Linked DNA regions of Oryctolagus cuniculus. The protein of the gene in region 1 purifies or fractionates together with the protein of each later gene. This does not show direct contact. Links are inferred from orthologs where the notes say so. Each region holds a gene or a part of one and is shown on either strand. Other genes may lie near its edges.

What was found. The genes of interacting proteins can lie anywhere in the genome.
Region 2: the proteins of SNX4 (region 1) and SNX7 purify together in Homo sapiens (affinity purification with mass spectrometry; 3 studies listed by BioGRID and IntAct, counting the BioPlex papers as one, with this or other methods). This does not show direct contact. The link is inferred for Oryctolagus cuniculus from reciprocal best matches to the Homo sapiens genes SNX4 and SNX7.
Region 3: the proteins of SNX4 (region 1) and SNX30 purify together in Homo sapiens (co-immunoprecipitation; 4 studies listed by BioGRID and IntAct, counting the BioPlex papers as one, with this or other methods). This does not show direct contact. The link is inferred for Oryctolagus cuniculus from reciprocal best matches to the Homo sapiens genes SNX4 and SNX30.

Annotation. Positions count from the first base shown.
Region 1 is NC_091435.1:81,847,608-81,853,028, forward strand, and holds the start of SNX4 (sorting nexin-4), read right to left. Parts: upstream 3,399-5,421; 5' UTR 3,359-3,398; coding exon 3,218-3,358; intron 1-3,217. UniProt on the Homo sapiens protein: Involved in the regulation of endocytosis and in several stages of intracellular trafficking. Plays a role in recycling endocytosed transferrin receptor and prevent its degradation.
Region 2 is NC_091438.1:71,810,365-71,815,889, forward strand, and holds the start of SNX7 (sorting nexin-7), read right to left. Parts: upstream 3,789-5,525; 5' UTR 3,735-3,788; coding exon 3,555-3,734; intron 3,179-3,554; exon of another isoform or gene 2,527-3,178; intron 1-2,526. UniProt on the Homo sapiens protein: Involved in the regulation of endocytosis and in several stages of intracellular trafficking. Together with SNX4, involved in autophagosome assembly by regulating trafficking and recycling of phospholipid scramblase ATG9A.
Region 3 is NC_091432.1:216,286,649-216,292,137, reverse strand, and holds the start of SNX30 (sorting nexin-30), read right to left. Parts: upstream 3,789-5,489; 5' UTR 3,638-3,788; coding exon 3,482-3,637; intron 1-3,481. UniProt on the Homo sapiens protein: Involved in the regulation of endocytosis and in several stages of intracellular trafficking. Together with SNX4, involved in autophagosome assembly.

The DNA.
Region 1 (5,421 bases):
AATGTGCTGTACATTGAGGCTTAATGCTATAACGAGTACTCAAACAGTATATTTCACTTTGTGTTTCTATGGGGGTGCAAACGGTTGAAATCTTTACTTAATGTATACTAAACTGATCTTCTGGCCCTGCTCTTGATTCCAGCTTCCCGCTAATGCCCACTCTGGGACACAGCAGGTGATGGCTCAAGTACTTGGGTCCCTGCCACCCTTCCTGTCTCTGAGCTTCAGCCTGGCCCAGTGCTGGCTGTTGTGGGCATCTGGGGAGTAAGACAGCAGATGAGATGTCTCTCTGTCTCTTTGCCTTCCAAATAAATAAGTTAAAAAAATTGTAAGTGTGAGATTTATTTAAAAAAAAAAAAGGAATATCTACAAAGTGGCAGGCTGCAGTCATGAAAACAAACTAAACCACATTTTAGACGAATCTCAAAGGAAAGGGAATCACAGAAAAATGAATCCACATATGTAGTCTCAAAAATCAGCAAAAACCTAAATAATTCAAAAAGTTTGTGGAAAAAAATAGAATTTAGATTTGATTAAAAAAAAGAAATTGAAATCCATGCAGTTTTCTCACAGTATACATTTTCTATTACCTTTTTGAAGACCTCCTCATACACTGTTTAGGGATACATATGGAAACATAATAACCAAAAGCAAGAATTAACCAGCACAAAATTCAGAATACTGGGTAGGCACTATGGTTTTGTGGGCTAAGCCTCTGCCTGCTGCACCGGCATCCCACGTGGCACTGGTTTGTGTCCTGGCTGCTCCTCTTCCAATCCAGCTCTCTGCTATGGCCTGGGAAAGCAGTAGATGGCCCAAGTGCTTGGGCCCCTGCACCCGTGTGGGAGACCCAGAGAAGCTCCTGGCTCTTGGCTTTGGATCTGCCCAGCTCCAGCCATTGCGGCCATTTGGGGAGTGAACCAACAGATGGAAGTCCTTACTCTCTGTCTCTCCCTCTCTGTCTGCAACTCTAGCTCTCAAAAAAATAAATCTTTAAAAATAAATAAATAAAATTTTAAAAAGTTAGAATACTGGTTAACTGTGGTGGAGGAAAGGAGCTGGAATACAAGAGAATGGATGGAGTCTTCAAAGGAACTGTTAATTATTTTGTGACAGCCTTGTTTGCATACTGATATAATTTGAATGCACACTATTTTCAAAAGAAAGATTATGTCATGGGTGAGAATCTACATTAAAAAATCATGTAACAGTCAAATTTATGCACTGACAGAATATACACTTCTCTCACATTTAATATGAGATCCTTTGACCACTCCACAAATAATTCTAAAATTTAGGGAAAAATGAAATGGAAAGGTAAAACTCAACAACAGAAAAACCACCTAATTTTTAGAAGGGGCAAAAGTCCTTCCTACCAGACACATCACCAAAGATTCACAGATAGCAAACAAGCCCACACAAAGATGGTCCCCATCAGCTGTCCTCAGGGAAACGCAATCAAAACACGGAAATCCCCATCCACGGTGGCCCAAGTCGAGAACACCGACAACACCAATGGCTGATGAGGATGTCTAGAACACAAACTCTCACTTATCTCTGGTGGGAAGGTAAAGTCAAGTTGGCAGCTTCTCCAAAAAACATGCTGGTACCAAATGACCCAGTGATCACGCTACTTGGCATTCACCCAAAGGAGTTAAAAACTTATGTCCACACAGAAACCTGTACACACACACGTTTACAGCAGCTTTATTCCTAACTGCCAAAACTCCAAAGTGCCAAGGTGTACCCCAGTAAGTGAATGGATAAACAAACTGGTACATGCAGACAACGGACGATTCCTCAGTGCTAAAAAGAACAGAACTACTCAGCTATGAAAAGCCATGAGGGACCTCAAATGCTCACTACAAAGTGAAAGATGCCAATCTCAGTATGAGTCCAGCTCCCTGGCAGACTGGGAAAGCCACAACTACGGAAACAGTTAGATCAGTGGTTGCCAGCAGTTGAGGGGAAAGACCAACCAACAGGCAGAGCCCAGAGGATCTTCATGGCAATGAAGAGAGAGAGGCTATTGCAATGGTGGACACGGGTAAGGTCTGTCCAACACGAGGAGTCAGCACTAATGTAAACTGTGGACCTGGAGTGATAAGGCCTGCCAGCGAGGGAACAAAAGCACACTCACACACTTGGTTGTGGGCTGGGCCCCTGCAGAAGGCTCAGTACCCCCCCGCCAGGCAGGGGGCATGTGGGCATCTCAACACCGTTCTCTCATTTTTGCTGCTGCCAACCTAAGCACTCCTTTAAAAAAATGGGTTTTTAACCTAAAGAAAAATTACAAGCATATCATACCGTAAACAAGTCTTCCTGCTCCTCTCCCTACCTTGGTATTTTCCTCAGTAGGCCAAATCTTTAACTCCTGTTTCAGCTGAAATCCGTGGCAAGCCGAAGAGGCCTCCTAGCTACATCCAATGAACAGCTTTGCTTTATCCATCACACGGATGGGCAGTTTAACATGGGGCCCGCCATTCGATCAAGAAAAACCCAAAATGACTGGATGAGCAATGCCCAAGGCAGGAGCCTCCGGGTCGGTGGTCTGCAAATCCCGCCACGTACGTGAAAAACACTTTGGACCGGAAGCGCTTACAAATCTAAGACGGTACGTTTTTCCCCTTTTACTTTCTAGCAAATGAAAATCACCACCACAGGAACTGTCCCAAGCGGCTACACACACGGAACACCGAGGAGCCTCCAAATCACGCCCCCAATTCAAGAAATTAAAGCCAAATGAGGTGTTTGGAAAATGTGCCTTCAATTTTATCTTCTCCTGAACCTGACCCGTTCTTCAGTTTCCTGATGGGCGGTAGCACCGGGCCAACCACCCTGAGAGCCCCGAGATGCGCGCCTCATCCCACTCCCCAACCCCTCCCCTCTCAAGCCCCCACAAACCCACCGCCCCTGAAACTCCACGCCTGCCCTTCTCTCGACCGCTGAAACCCACGCCCCTCCAGCCTCAGCGCCCCAGCGCCGCACCCCCACGTCCCCTGCCCTGGGTCCCCGCAGCGCCGACGCTCGCCCCCCACCCCAGGGGTCCCCAGTCCCCACTGAGCCTTCCGCCCACAGCAGCTGCGGCCCCGCAGCCCCAGCACAGCGGCCCCCCGGGCCGAAGCCCTCAGCCTCCGCCAGCCCAGCCCTGCCCTGCCCAGCCCAGCCCGCTAGGCCCAGACACAGGCCCCGAGGCCTCGGCCGCCCTCCTCCTCACCGTGTCGGCCCCGGAGCCCTCTTCCTTGGCCCCGTCCGCGCCCTCCCCGACCGCAGCCTCCAGCCCAGCGTCGGAGCTGCCTAGCGGCTCCAGGGGCGCAGGCTGCAGCTGCCGCTCGGGGTCCGGAGGTGCCTGCTCCATGGCTGCAGTTCCGCGCGCCGAGCCCAGTGCGCCTGCGCCGCCGCCGGGGCCGCCGCCGCCCCGCCCCTCCCGGCCCGCCCCAGGGGGGGCGCGACCCGGGTGCGTTCCCCGAGCGGGACTGGTGACAGATGGGCCGGTGGAGGAAGCGTTTGGCTCCCGAGTCAGGAGAATCAGAAATCTAGGAGAACTCGTAGAGGTAGGGAAGACAGAGAGAGAGAGAAACAAGCAGGGAAGGTGAACACCAGAAGCAGGCATGGGAACCATTCCGTGGACGCAGAGGAAGCTGAAGGCTGTGGTCCGACCATCCCCCCTCTCGGCCCCTGCCTGGACTCCAATTATTATTATTGTTATTTAAAGATTTATTTATTTATTTTAAAGTCAGAGCTACAGAGAGGCAGCGGGGGGTGGGGTGGGGGGGAAAGTCTTTGATTCACTAATTCACTCCCCTAGTGACTGCAATGTCCAGAGCTGTGCCAATCCGAAGCCGGGAGCCTCCTCCTGGTCTCCCATATGGGTGCAGGGGCCCAAGGACTTGGGCCATCTTCTGCTTTCCCAGGCCATAGCAGAGAGCTAGATCAGAAGAGGAGCAGCTGCAACTAGAACCAATGCCCATGTGGGATGCCAGAGCTGCAGGCGTCGGCCCAACCCTGATGACATTTAATATATATCCCTTCAAGTATTATATATACATACAAATATATACATATATACAGTAAAAATGGGATCACACTATAAAGCTATTTGATTTTTTTAAAAAATATTTAAAGATTTATTTATTTGAAAGGCAGAGTTTCAGAAAGGAGGGAGTGAGAGAGAAATCTTCCATCTGCTGGTTCACTCTGCAAATCGATACAACTCTCAGGGCTGGGCCAGGCCAAGGCCAGGAGCCAGGAGCTTCCTCTAAGTCTCCCACATAGGGGTGCAGGGGCACAAACACTTGGGCCATTCTCTGCTTTCCCTGGCACATTTGCAGTGAGCTGGATCAGAAGTGGAGAAGCTGGACTTGAACCTGTGCCCATACGGGATGCCAGTGCTGCAGGCCATGGCTTGAACCCACTGCATTACAGCATTGGCCCCTAAAATAATTTTTTAAAGATGCATTTTATTTATTTGAAAGGCAGAGTGACAGAGAAAGAAGTGTCTTCCATTTGCTGGTTCATTCCCTGAATGGCTACCTCAACCAGGTCTGGACCAGGCCAAAGCCAGGAGACAGGAACTTCATATGCATTTCCCAGGTGGGTGGCAGGCATCCAAACACATGGGCCATCTTCCACTGCCTTCCCAGGTACATTAGCAGGGAGCTGGATCAGAAGCAGAATAGCCAGGACTAGAACCGGTACTCCTGTATGGGATGTCAGCATCACCAGTGGTATATCCTGCTACACCACAATGCCAGTCCCCAATTTTTTTAAACTATTTTTTTTGAAAGTCAGAGTTATGCAGAGAGAGGAGAGGCAAAAAGAGAGAGAGAGAAGTCTTCCATCCAATGGTTCACTTCTTAATTGGCTGCAATGGCAGGAGCTGCGCCGATCTGAAGCCAGGAGCCAGGAGCTTCTTCCTGGTCTCCCACACAGGTGCAGGAGCCCAAGGTTGTGGGCCATCATCTACTGCTTTCCCAGGCCACAGCAGAGAGCTGGATGGGAAGTGGAGCAGCCGGGTCTCGGACCTGCACCCGTATGGGATGCCGATGCTTCAGGCCAGGGCATTAACCTGCTGCGCCACAGCACCAGCCCCTTAAACTCTTTTTAAAAAAGGTTTACTGGCCGGCGCCGCGGCTCACTAGGCTAATCCTCCGCCTTGCAGTGCCAGCACACCGGGTTCTAGTCCTGATGGGGGCGCCGGATTCTGTCCCGCTTGCCCCTCTTCCAGGCCAGCTCTCTGCTGTGGCCAGGGAGTGCAGTGGAGGATGGCCCAAGTGCTTGGGCCCTGCACCCCATGGGAGACCAGAAGTACCTGGCTCTCTGGGAGACCAGAAGTACCTGGCTCCTGCCATCGGATCAGTGTGGTGCGTCGGCCGCAGCACACCAGCCGCGGTGGCCATTGGAGGGTGAACCAACAGCAAA
Region 2 (5,525 bases), on another chromosome or scaffold:
GTAACTCTACCTCTCAGATAAATAAATAAAATCATTAAAAAAATTTTTAAACAGGATATTTACCTATCTCTATTTTGTGTGCAGCAGTCCTACATTCCAAGACAGCTCAAAGTTGAGCAGCTGTGATGAGGAAGATTACATGCATAAAGTCCCTGATAACCAAATCTCACTTTATGGTCCACAGGACCTTTAAAGAGACCAATAACAGGAGCTACCCTTTACTGAGCACCAGAAAAGCATGATAGTGCCCATTATGATCTATGTAGGTAAGCTGTGTTTCAACTGCTGCTTTTGCTACACATTACAGTGTATAATAAAAATAAAGCAATTCGTGTTATCTTGATATATTATTTTCCCCAAAAGGAAAATGTTTTCCTTGAAGTATAATGAAACTGGCCCTTTTTCTCTAGTTAAATTTTTCTAAGCCTCATTTCACTTTGGCCTAGTTCTTACACAAGTCTTTAATATGCCACTATTTATATCTTTTTTCTCTTCATGTGTTTTATTGTTTCTAGATCACCAGTCATCTTCTCCTCCCTTCTAACATCTATACTTACTCTTTCAAATCAATAGCATCTGCAGGTCTCCTGAGTTTGACATCATTCTCTCCTCAGTGGATTATTTGCAAACTCAAAACACCATTTGGTTACACTTTCCATTCATCTTCACTTCTAGGGCCATTTAGACTGTCTTCTCCCCTAAATTGCCAGATTGTGATAGCCAGAATTGAATCTTGCATGTTTTTCTAAGAACACATAGCACAACATATTTTATAAAACTATGTATTTCTAATGTATTGTAGGAAGAAAAGGAATAATAAAGCAAAGTTCATATTCTTTTAAAAAGTCTGGAGGAGGATAACAGAAATACTTTTACAAATCATCTAAAGGAGGAGCAGGGAATGTTTTTTCTGCCTGGGGCCATTTTGATATTCATATCATTCATAGGCCATGCAAAATTATCGACTTAAAAGTTACCCTGCTATTGGGGCCGGCTCCTCAGCATAGCAGGTTAAGCCTCTGTCTGCTGTGCCAGCATCCCATATGGTGCCGGTTCAGGTCCTAGCTGCTTCACTTCCTATCAAGCTCCCTGCTCATGAGCCTGGGAAAGCCATGGAAGATGGCCTAAGTCCTTAGGTCCCCAAACTCCCATGGGAGACCTAGAAGAAGCTTCTGGCTCCTGGCTTTGGCCTGGTCCAGCCCTGATTGCTTTGGCCATTTGGGGAGTGAAACAACACATGCAAGATCTCTCTCTCTGTCTTTCTCTGCCTTTCAAATAAATGAGTAAATATAAATTTTTTAAAAATTAGCCCGCTATAGATTAGTTGAATTTCGACTCCCACCTACGGTTGCCTTGACAGGGCCAGACCAAAGGATTCTGCAGGCCTTACATGGCCCATGGGCCAGACTGTACCTACCCCATCTAAGGGAATAAAGAGGCTACAAATGTGAATGCAAACTGAATATGAAAGTGGTGGATGTTAAAGTACTTGAGGACAGAAACAGACTGCTACATAAACAATTGTTAATTAATATCCTTGGGTGGACTGACTGCAGTGGACTTCTAGAGAGAAGCAGGCTAAAAAGTGGGAAGAGGAAAGGATAGGCAAATGGAGACTGCCTTGCATTTGCTTGTCTAACGATGGTTTATGGCTGAAATTCTTAACTTACTGTAACATAAGTAGATGGTCAGTTTTAAAGTTTCTCAAATACAGTGACCTTTCCAAACTTTGAACACTATTATGCCCTTAGCTCAATCTACATGGCCAGTTTAAGTTATACAACATGAACAAGCAAGGTAGATCCAGCTGTACTAGCCTGAGGCTCTCTTTTAAAAAGAATACAAAATTTGGCAGAAAAACCAAATTTTACTTAGAAATCTCAATAGATGAACCTGACCATGCAGATCTAGATTTCCTACTCTGAGGCAGCTTTAGGTGATTTATCAGAAGTGCTCCTGGTTGCAACCTGGCTTGTCCATTCCACCTAAAACAGCCGCAACTCCAGCAACTCCAAACATTGCCAGAGGCCAGGGGAAGAAGAGTTGGAAGCTTGAATTTCATCAGCTTCGCCCATGCCCACCTCTGACCTCACGAACACAGTAATTCTCAAGAGCTGGCTGGGACTCTTAAGAGAGACCACCCATTGGGTTAGGGTTAAAACAATTCCAGATGATTCTGATACACAACTGCCACTCCCAGCACTCCACGCCCCCCAGCACACACACACACACTGTTGCCAGTTTCCCAATGCATAGCCATGAAGTAAGACCCACAGACTTAAAGGGCAAAAAAAAAAAAAAAAAAAAAAAAAGAAGAAGAAATCAACCAACTGCCCAATTGTCCCAGATCTGAACATAAAGGATATGTGAAATGTAAGACAGTGTTAACCTTTTACAACCAATGTAAAATAACTGCATTATTTTATGATGTAAATAAACTAAAAAGTCAGGAGACAGACACCCTGAAATCTAGACTAGGACTGGGCCTACCATTCCATTTATTCCCTAAGAAAACATAAATCCCACACATTCCTTTGGGAGTGAGCATATGTGTGCTCCCTGTCTTACTTGGGCTGGCTCTCCCATCGCCAGGGCAGCTGTGAGGTCTGAAGGCTGCTGCACCCAGCATCTCAGGGTAGCATCTGACTACTGCACAGCCTTCTTCACAACAAGATTCCGAGCGGAACTCAAGTCTTCTTCAAGCAGCATCTGCAGACTGGAGTTTCAGCCAACCGCCCCACTGGCATTTTTCTTTTCCAAAAGTCTTTAAGAAATGATAACCATCAGTCTACCCACACCAAAATTCTACAAGAAAACGCCAAGAAGTCAATTTCCCCGCAAGTCTAACACAAGCTTGGAAGGGCATGTGGTACTAGACTTCCAGTGGGAAAGGAAGGGAAAACAAAACGAAAGCGCTGGCTGTGGGCTTGGTGGCCCCAGCGACCATCTGCAAAGTCCTGGGCTGAGCAGCCCAGGGGCTTCCTGTGAGCCTGATTCCAGCCGCCGCCTCCTGTTGGGGGGATGGCCTCGCACCCATTCCCGCTGGACTGGAGACACGCCTCGGGTGTCACCCAAGTCTCCAATCCACAACCAGCAGCACGAAATCAAAATAATGTCTCTTCGCTCAGCTGATCTCTCTCCCGGAGTCCAGGGCTGGCCAGCCCCCGAAAAGAAGCTGGTAAGGGCGAGGGCAGTTTCGGGCCGCCAGCCTCTGGGGTACGGGTACTGTCGAGAGATGTCCGTGTCAGCGAAGCGCAGAGCGAAACAAATCACAACTTTGCACACTCCACGGAGCACGGCCCTGCGGAGCGGAAGGTCAAAGTGCGGAAAAGGGAGCGGCTACAGTTGGGAACCCCGCGGGGACGCAGCCCCGGGTGCCAGGAGAGAGTCCCGGAGGGGTCCCACAGCCTGGGGCTGGCCGCACCCACCTCCAGCCCCGAGCCTCCGCGCGGGGAGGGCGGGCGCGCGGGAGGCAGCCGCCAGCGCAGCGGTGACAACTCGCGGAGTTGCCTCGGAACTTTCCCGGGACGCGCCGCCTCCGCCGCCGCCCTCACCTTACTGAACACCTCCAGGTCGTCCTCGTCCTCGTCTAGATCCAGCACCTCAGACTGCAGCAGGGCGGAGGAGCCGCTGCTGCCCGCGAAGGGGGCGCCGCCCCCCGGGCTCTCCCCGTCGGCGCCCCCGGCCGGGAGGCCCGAGGAGCGCGCCTGAGATGCCCGGCGCTCGCCCTCCATCCCGAGAGTGCGCGCCCGGCCGCCGCCGCCGCCGCCAGCCCGGCACCCCCGAGCGTGCCCATTGGCTCCCGCGCATCCTGCGCCTCCCCGGCCGGCCCCGCTCCAGCCCCTCGCCCGCTGCGCAGACGCGGAACTGCCGGGGCCAGCGCCCGGCCGGGCAGGGTGGCCGCGGGCCGGAGTGCGTCCCCGCCCGGCCTGAAGCTGGCGAGAGGGTAGGGGTGGGACGGTGGGGCTGCCGGCGCGGGTTGGGAGAAGGCCGACCGCCCCTGGAAGGTAAGAGACGGGCGGCCCGCACTGTCCCAGCCGACTGTTTCCGCGGCGGCGGGCTCTGGGAAAGAGGCCACCGAGCAAAGCGTCCGCTTCGCGGGATCCACAGCGAGGCTGGCAGGCAGAGAGGAAAAAAATAAAAAAATCTGTGTTTCCTGTGGTTAATGGTTGCCTGCCTTCTTGGTTGTGATTTTCGAGTCTGTCCCTGTTCACCTAATGTAAAAATAACAAACATGAAAACCTCCTCATTTTGTGATCGATTTTAAACCCAGTAACAGGCCCGCGGTCATTTCACTATCAAACAAAGGAAGCTGAGATCTAAAAACTGCCTTCAGCCACTTTCAAACGCGTCTTTACTCCAGGAAGTCTTCCTGAAGTTGATGAGCAAGAATGTTCTTAAGAGCCAAGAGCAGCCAGCGGGGCTGGACGCTGCTGGGGAAAATGATCTTCAGCCCTTGCTCTGCCAGTGCACAGCTATAATTTTTCAGTTGCAACATTGTTATTTAAACAAAAATAAGTGAACTCCAAAAATAGTGGAAGATCAAATGCAAAGTGGAGTATTTTTAAAACATCAGGTTTTCTCATTTACTGCTTTTCATCCCGTCTCCTCCATAAGCCCTGTCTAAACTTTTCTAAAAAATTAAAGACTATATGTAGGAAAGCCCTATTTGGGTAAGTGGAGAATACCTTCATTTCTGATCCGAGGACATGGTCTTAATAATGTACAACCGCTTAACCATTCAAAAGTACCTCTCGTTGGCTTCAGGACAGGGACCCACCTTGTAGTCAGGTTAGTCATTGGCCAAAGAACATCCACACTTGTTCTTGACCTTTCTGGTTCCCTACCCGTCTGTCCCATCTCTTTCAGAAAGACTTGCCAAGTGACAATTGGTTCCCAATTCAACATTTAGTTTTAGTCTGTCTTACAGATTGGATTTGTTTCATACATGTCTTACATCCCTTAGTAAACAATAAGATTTATAGGTCAAAGATCACAATATGTATTGATAAACCACAGTATCACACGTATGCACTCAAATAGTCTCTGCTAAGGCTTATAAGGAATACAAGTTATTGAAACACTGTTTTTCCTGTCTAAGTTCCTTCTGGCTAGTGAGGCAGATTCAAGATCTCCTAATTGCAGTGTAAACCAGGAAATTCTTAATGATACCATGACTCACAGAATTCCCAGGAAGCATAGAGAACAAACAAGACCAGAAAGTGGCCAGACCAAGCCAGAGCTGCACAGCCCGGCTCACAGGCAAAACCGTACCACAGAACCAATGGCACAGGCTTTGCTGCCACCATTGCCTGGTATTAGATGCCACACCTCCTTCACATACTGCCATTGACACCTGTGGCACCACATTTCAGGTGTTAGCCCTGACTCTAGTACCATAGCTGCCTTTGAGAATCTCACCTGCTGTTGCTGCCACAAAAAAAAAAAAAAAAAAATCCCCACAATTCCATTTCTCTGTGTTGTTAGGTGTAGATTCAAAATCCCAGAGGAAGGGTATATCTTTA
Region 3 (5,489 bases), on another chromosome or scaffold:
CCAGCACAGTCTGCTCCCCGCTCTTTCCTGCCCTCACCTTGTAACTCTCCACCAGGCTCCACCAGGCCCAGCCGCACTGCCTCACAGCCTTCAGCTGCTCCTGTTAGGCAAGAAGTTAAAAAATAAGCCTCTGTGTGTGCAAGAAGGACCTGCAGACCAGCACCTACTGTGGAAGCTCCAGAAGCCCAGCATTTTGCAGGTCAAAGTCCTGCCCTGATCCTGATAACTTTCCAGGTGGTCCCAGCCCTCCCCCCAAGGAAAGCTCCCAGAATTCTCTCCGCTCAGGACCAAACGGGTTACCTGACCTGATAACATGGGGCCATAAGAAATGCAGTCTAGGAGGGGGCTGATGTTTGGCACAGCATGTAAGTCACTGCTAAAAGCACCCACATCCCACACTGGAGTGCGTGGGTTCAAGTCCTTGCTACTCTGGCTGCTAACCCAGCTCCCTGCTAGTATGTCTGGAAATGAGCTGATGATGGCTCAAATACTTGAGTCCCTGTCACCCTTGTGGGAGACCAGATTGAGCTCCAGGTTCTTGGCTCTGGCTTGGCCCAGTCCTGGTTGTTACGACCATTTGGGGAATGAACCAGCAGATGCAAGATCTCTCCCCTTCCCCCCACTTTTTAAATAAAACAAAAAGGAAGTGGGTGATGAAGGCAGAAGCTTTAAGAGGAAAGCACACAGCCATTTCAAAGATTTCAGGGGGAGTCCAGGAGACCGAAGGGGTGGGAAGTTGGTTGCAGGCTTAAGAGGTAACGGATGCGGGAAGAGGTGGTAACCACAGAGCAGGGCTCAGGTATCAAGTGTTGGGAGGCAAACAGAAGTTGGAGCTGAGTCACAGGAGAAGAGCTGGGGCCGAAGTGATTTATTTATATTGTAGGGGGAGGGGGAAGATGCAGTGATAGACGGCCTGGTGAGTTAGCTGGCATCAAAGAATCAGTCTTGGCAACACTTGGCAGATAAAAAGCATTCCTCCCGTCACACGAGGATTTGAATGACTTGAGAAGCTGGCCGGCGGAAAGTCCATCACATGCGGTCTTTCTCTCCTACCCAAGCACCGCGAAGGCCAACCGGGGTGTCAGCCAAATCAATACGCAGGGCCACCCTGTTCATGGCACCATCCCAGGCCACAGAAAGCAATTCCCTCCGCGTAACCATCCCAACCCATGAGCAGCCTTTGGATAAAGATACTCATGCTCTCCCAGAACTGAATTGACACTGAAAGCCAGTCATCCAGGATCACAAACCCCCAAAGTCCAACAAGGCTTTTTTCCGAAGACCGACAATGACTTTCCGACCGGCCCCCTGAGGACCCCACACTCCCTAGGAAAGAGAAAGCCAGGCGTACAGCACTTCCTTCCACCGCTGTGAGTCACCTCTGGAGCGCGCTAGCTTCTCTCCACAGGCGTTGCTCCAGAGTCGCAAGAGCGCATGTGCATGCCAAAACTCAAGGAAAATGTTACTCCCCTCAGAGAAAGAAATTACCATGCTTGCCCCTAAGGGAAAGTGGCTTGCTATAAATCAGACCTCTGAGACCGGTGTCTACAAGACACTCTCCATAGCTATTAGGAGCCTTATTAAATATTCAGTAATTAATAATAATGCCTACAAGAGCGTCTCTCCCAGAACTGATCCTGCAAAGGAAAGTATCAGGATACAGAATGGGCCTCACTTCCCACGGACCAACCAGATTTTGGTGGTACGGGGCGTTTGTCTCTAAGCAATTAAATGTCCGTCCTTCGAGTCAGGTGTCATCCAACAGCACGGCATCAAGCGAATGTGTAAAACAGCCAACCGTATGGCAGCCTTCACCACGGCCCCGTGATCCCCAACCCCTGGCAGTCAAGTCCAAGTATTCACACTCTTCCCCATGGCACCAGCACTGGTCTGTGTGACGGACAAGACACGGCAGAGGTACCCCCTTCCAAGGCTAGGTTATACAAGACTGGTTGGAGTCTTGGGCTCTCTTGGATCACTCTGGGGGAAATCAGCTGCCAAGTGGAACAGCCCTATGGAGAGTAAGGCCTGCCAAGAGCCACCAGGGAGCTTGGAAGAAGATCCTCCTCCAGTCCAGCCCAAATGACTACAGCCACCGGGGCGCCCTGAGTCTGGGGAACCTGCGCCCAGCTGTCTGACCCGCAGGTGCTCTTTTCCGGTGCTAAGCTGCAGAGTAACTCAGCACACAGCAATGGATCATCAACACACCACCCTACACAGAACAGAAAATCAGAAGATTTCACTCCACTTCCCATCCTACACTCATGTAAGACCAGTTTCTCTGTCCATAGGAAAGCAACCAATGATTCAAGTCATTCAACAATTAACTTTTTGAACATCAGCTAGGAGCAAGACACTTCCAACCAACATAAGCCTTCATATGGTAGCCTATAATCTTCTATAAAGAGTAATAGCCACACACACACACACACACACACACTCCTTGAGTTGCTCAAGCCAACAGTTTCACGTGCCTTTTGAGTTTTCTTGTTCTTAATTCTTTGCTTTCACAAACCCTCTGGGAAGCCACTCGCAAGTTAGTCTGAGCGCCCAGAGCCCTTGGGGCTGTAAGGCTATCGGGTTTTATTTTCTCAGACTCGTTTTTGCCGTATCACACACCTTTACATCTCAGGAGAGAACGAAGTCACAGCTCCCTTGATCCTAGGAACACTGGACAAGGAGGAATTCACTGAGAATTCGGCCAGGACGCGGAAGTGCTGGGGACCAGGCTGACTTAGGAGCAGCAGCAGCCCCGACACAATCGCTGAACTGGCAAGGGGGGGCAGGGAGATGCCGCCCCTTGCCCTTTGCCCCTCAAAGCAGCAGGGCAGCTGTGCGGTGCTGAGACCATCAGGGGCCTCCCCGTGCACAAAGAAGGTCAAAGGGCGAGCTTTCTTTCCCTCAACCACAAAACCTGCCCCGGCCAAACCTAAATTGTGCGGTAGGCGTAGGCCGTCGGAGACCAAGGGAGCCCCAGACGGAAAACCACAGACAGCCTCGCCAGCCGGGTCTGGGTCAGGTGACCGCCAGGGCAAACAGCAAACTAAACAAAGATCACTCCACACACTACCCACCGGGCAGGAGGAGGCTCCCGCAGGCACACAGCCGCGGAGTCGGGGAACTGGAGGCGCCCCAAGTCCCTCGGCAGCTCGGCTCCCACCCAGGACGCGCGCCCCGCAACGCACACACGTCTCCGCCCCCACGCGCAGGCTGGACCCCTCCCCAGCAGCTGTCACCGGCGCTCGCGCCCCGACTCAGCCACGGCAGCGTCCTCTCCGGCCGCTCCCCCCTCGCCTGCGACCGCGACCCCACGGGGGGCGACAAAGATGCTTTACCCGGGCGCTCCGGGGGCGAGCGTACGCCCGTCCTCCGGAAAGGGGCGCGCCACGCTGGGCGCGACCCCGTGCCCAAGGTGGCTGCGGATCCATCATCTCTGCCCCCACCCCCTGCCCCGGACGGTCCCCAGCCCCGTGAGCCCCACCTTGTCACCGAAGCTGCGGGCCATCAGCAGGTCCGGGCTGGGCGTGCTGTCGCCGCCCATGGCCTCCTCGCTGCTGGAGCCGGCCAGCGGGTGCTGCACGTCTCGCAGGGATTGGGGCCCCGTGGACGGCAGGGCCTTGGGGGGCCCGCCCGCCATGGCAAGCGCCGTTTGGGACGCGCCGACAGCTCCCCGCGCGCCCCGGGGCCGAGGCCCCGCTCAGCCGCCGCTCGGTCGGAGGCCCTGCACTGCTGGGGCTGGCAGCCGCTGCCCGCCGCTCGCCTCTGCCCGCGCGGGGCTGGGCTGCCAGGCTGCTGGGCCGCTGCGCGCCGCGCGCCCCCGCTCCGCGCTCGCGCCCGCGCCCGCCGCGGGTCCGCCGGCACCTTGGCCCCAGCGCCCGGCCCACCCCGCCACGCCGCCCACCACCCGCTCGCGGCCCCGCCCCCTGGCGTCTCAGCCGCCCGGGAGGGGGCGGGGAGACGCGCGGCTCCGCCCCCGCCCGGCGCCCGGCAGGAAGTGCGCGCTGGGCCCCGGGCCGCGGACCTCCGGGCGTCCAGCTCGCCCGGCTGGGAGGCTGGCTCGGTGCAGGCTGAGCGAAGCCCCCAGGGCAAATGTTTAACGGAAATCCCCGGTGGAAGGATCCTGTTCCATTTCGCCCGCGGCAGCCACGCCTGGGGCCCAGGGCTTGGTGGGCCCGGGAGTGGAGGTGTCCTGGCCCCTGTTGCACGTGCAGAAGGGACCCAAGATAGAAGGCTCAAGGGTCATGAGGGTCAAAGGAGCCGGGGAACGCCCCCAGGCCACCTTGCTTCCTCCGCTGTAAAGATCCGCATCAATAAAGAACGAGAAAGGAGAAAGGGCTACCGATGACTTATGACTCCTAGACTTAGACTGCTAAGCTCAAGTTGTTTGTTCTGCTTCCTTCCCAGGCCTTTGGCTGAGCTGCTTAATCAGCTTTACTTGCTGGCCTGGTGGAGGATGTCCGGGCATTACTTCCAGCTCTTTGGGGTGTAGTACGTTCACCTCCTTCTGCCACCTCACTTTGTCTCTGCAGACAAAGTAGAAACTGACCCAATATACAGTCACTCACTGAGCTTCAAAGACCTCCCTGGATCTCTCCCGGTCTGCTTCAGGCAGTTGGACCTGTAGCCTTCAAACTGTGTTGGTTTATGTCTCCCACGTGGTCTGCCATGGCTGGGAAAAGAAGGTGCTGGGAACAATGTTAAGTGCTGCATCTGGCTCACAGGCATGCTGGCATCTGGGCCTCTTGGAGCTGGGTAAAACTGTCAGAGCTTTTAGATTCCGGGGCAGTTTACAAACCACCACTGAATTAGCACTAAAATATACAGCACCAGGCAGGCATCTGGCCTAGCGGTTAAGACACTGGTTGGGTTGCCCATAGCCCACGTCGGAGTGCCTGGGTTCCAGTCCCGACATCCTGCTAATGTGCACCGTGGGAGGCAGCAGGTGATGGCTCAAGTATTGAGCCCCTGCCACCCACCCACGTGGGAGACCCAGATGAAGTTCCAACCACCATCACTTTTGCAGCCATTTGGGGAGTGCACTAGCTGATGAAAGATCTCTCCCTCCCTATCTCTCTCTCTCATTCTCTGTTATTCTGCCTTTCAAATAAGATAAATCTTACATTTTTTTTTAAATCTTTTTTTTTTTTTTGACAGGCAGAGTGGACAGTGAGAGAGAGAGACAGAGAGAGAAAGGTCTTCCTTTGCCATTGGTTCACCCTCCAATGGCCGCCGCTGCAGCCGGCGCACCGTGCTGATCCGATGGCAGGAGCCAGGAGCCAGGTGCTTTTCCTGGTCTCCCATGGGGTGCAGGGCCCAAGCACCTGGGCCATCCTCCACTGCACTCCCTGGCCATAGCAGAGAGCTGGCCTGGAAGAGGGGCAACCGGGACAGAATCCGGCACCCCAACCGGGACTAGAACCCGGTGTGCCGGCGCTGCAAGGTGGAGGATTAGCCTATTGAGCCACGGCGCCGGCTCGATAAATCTTACA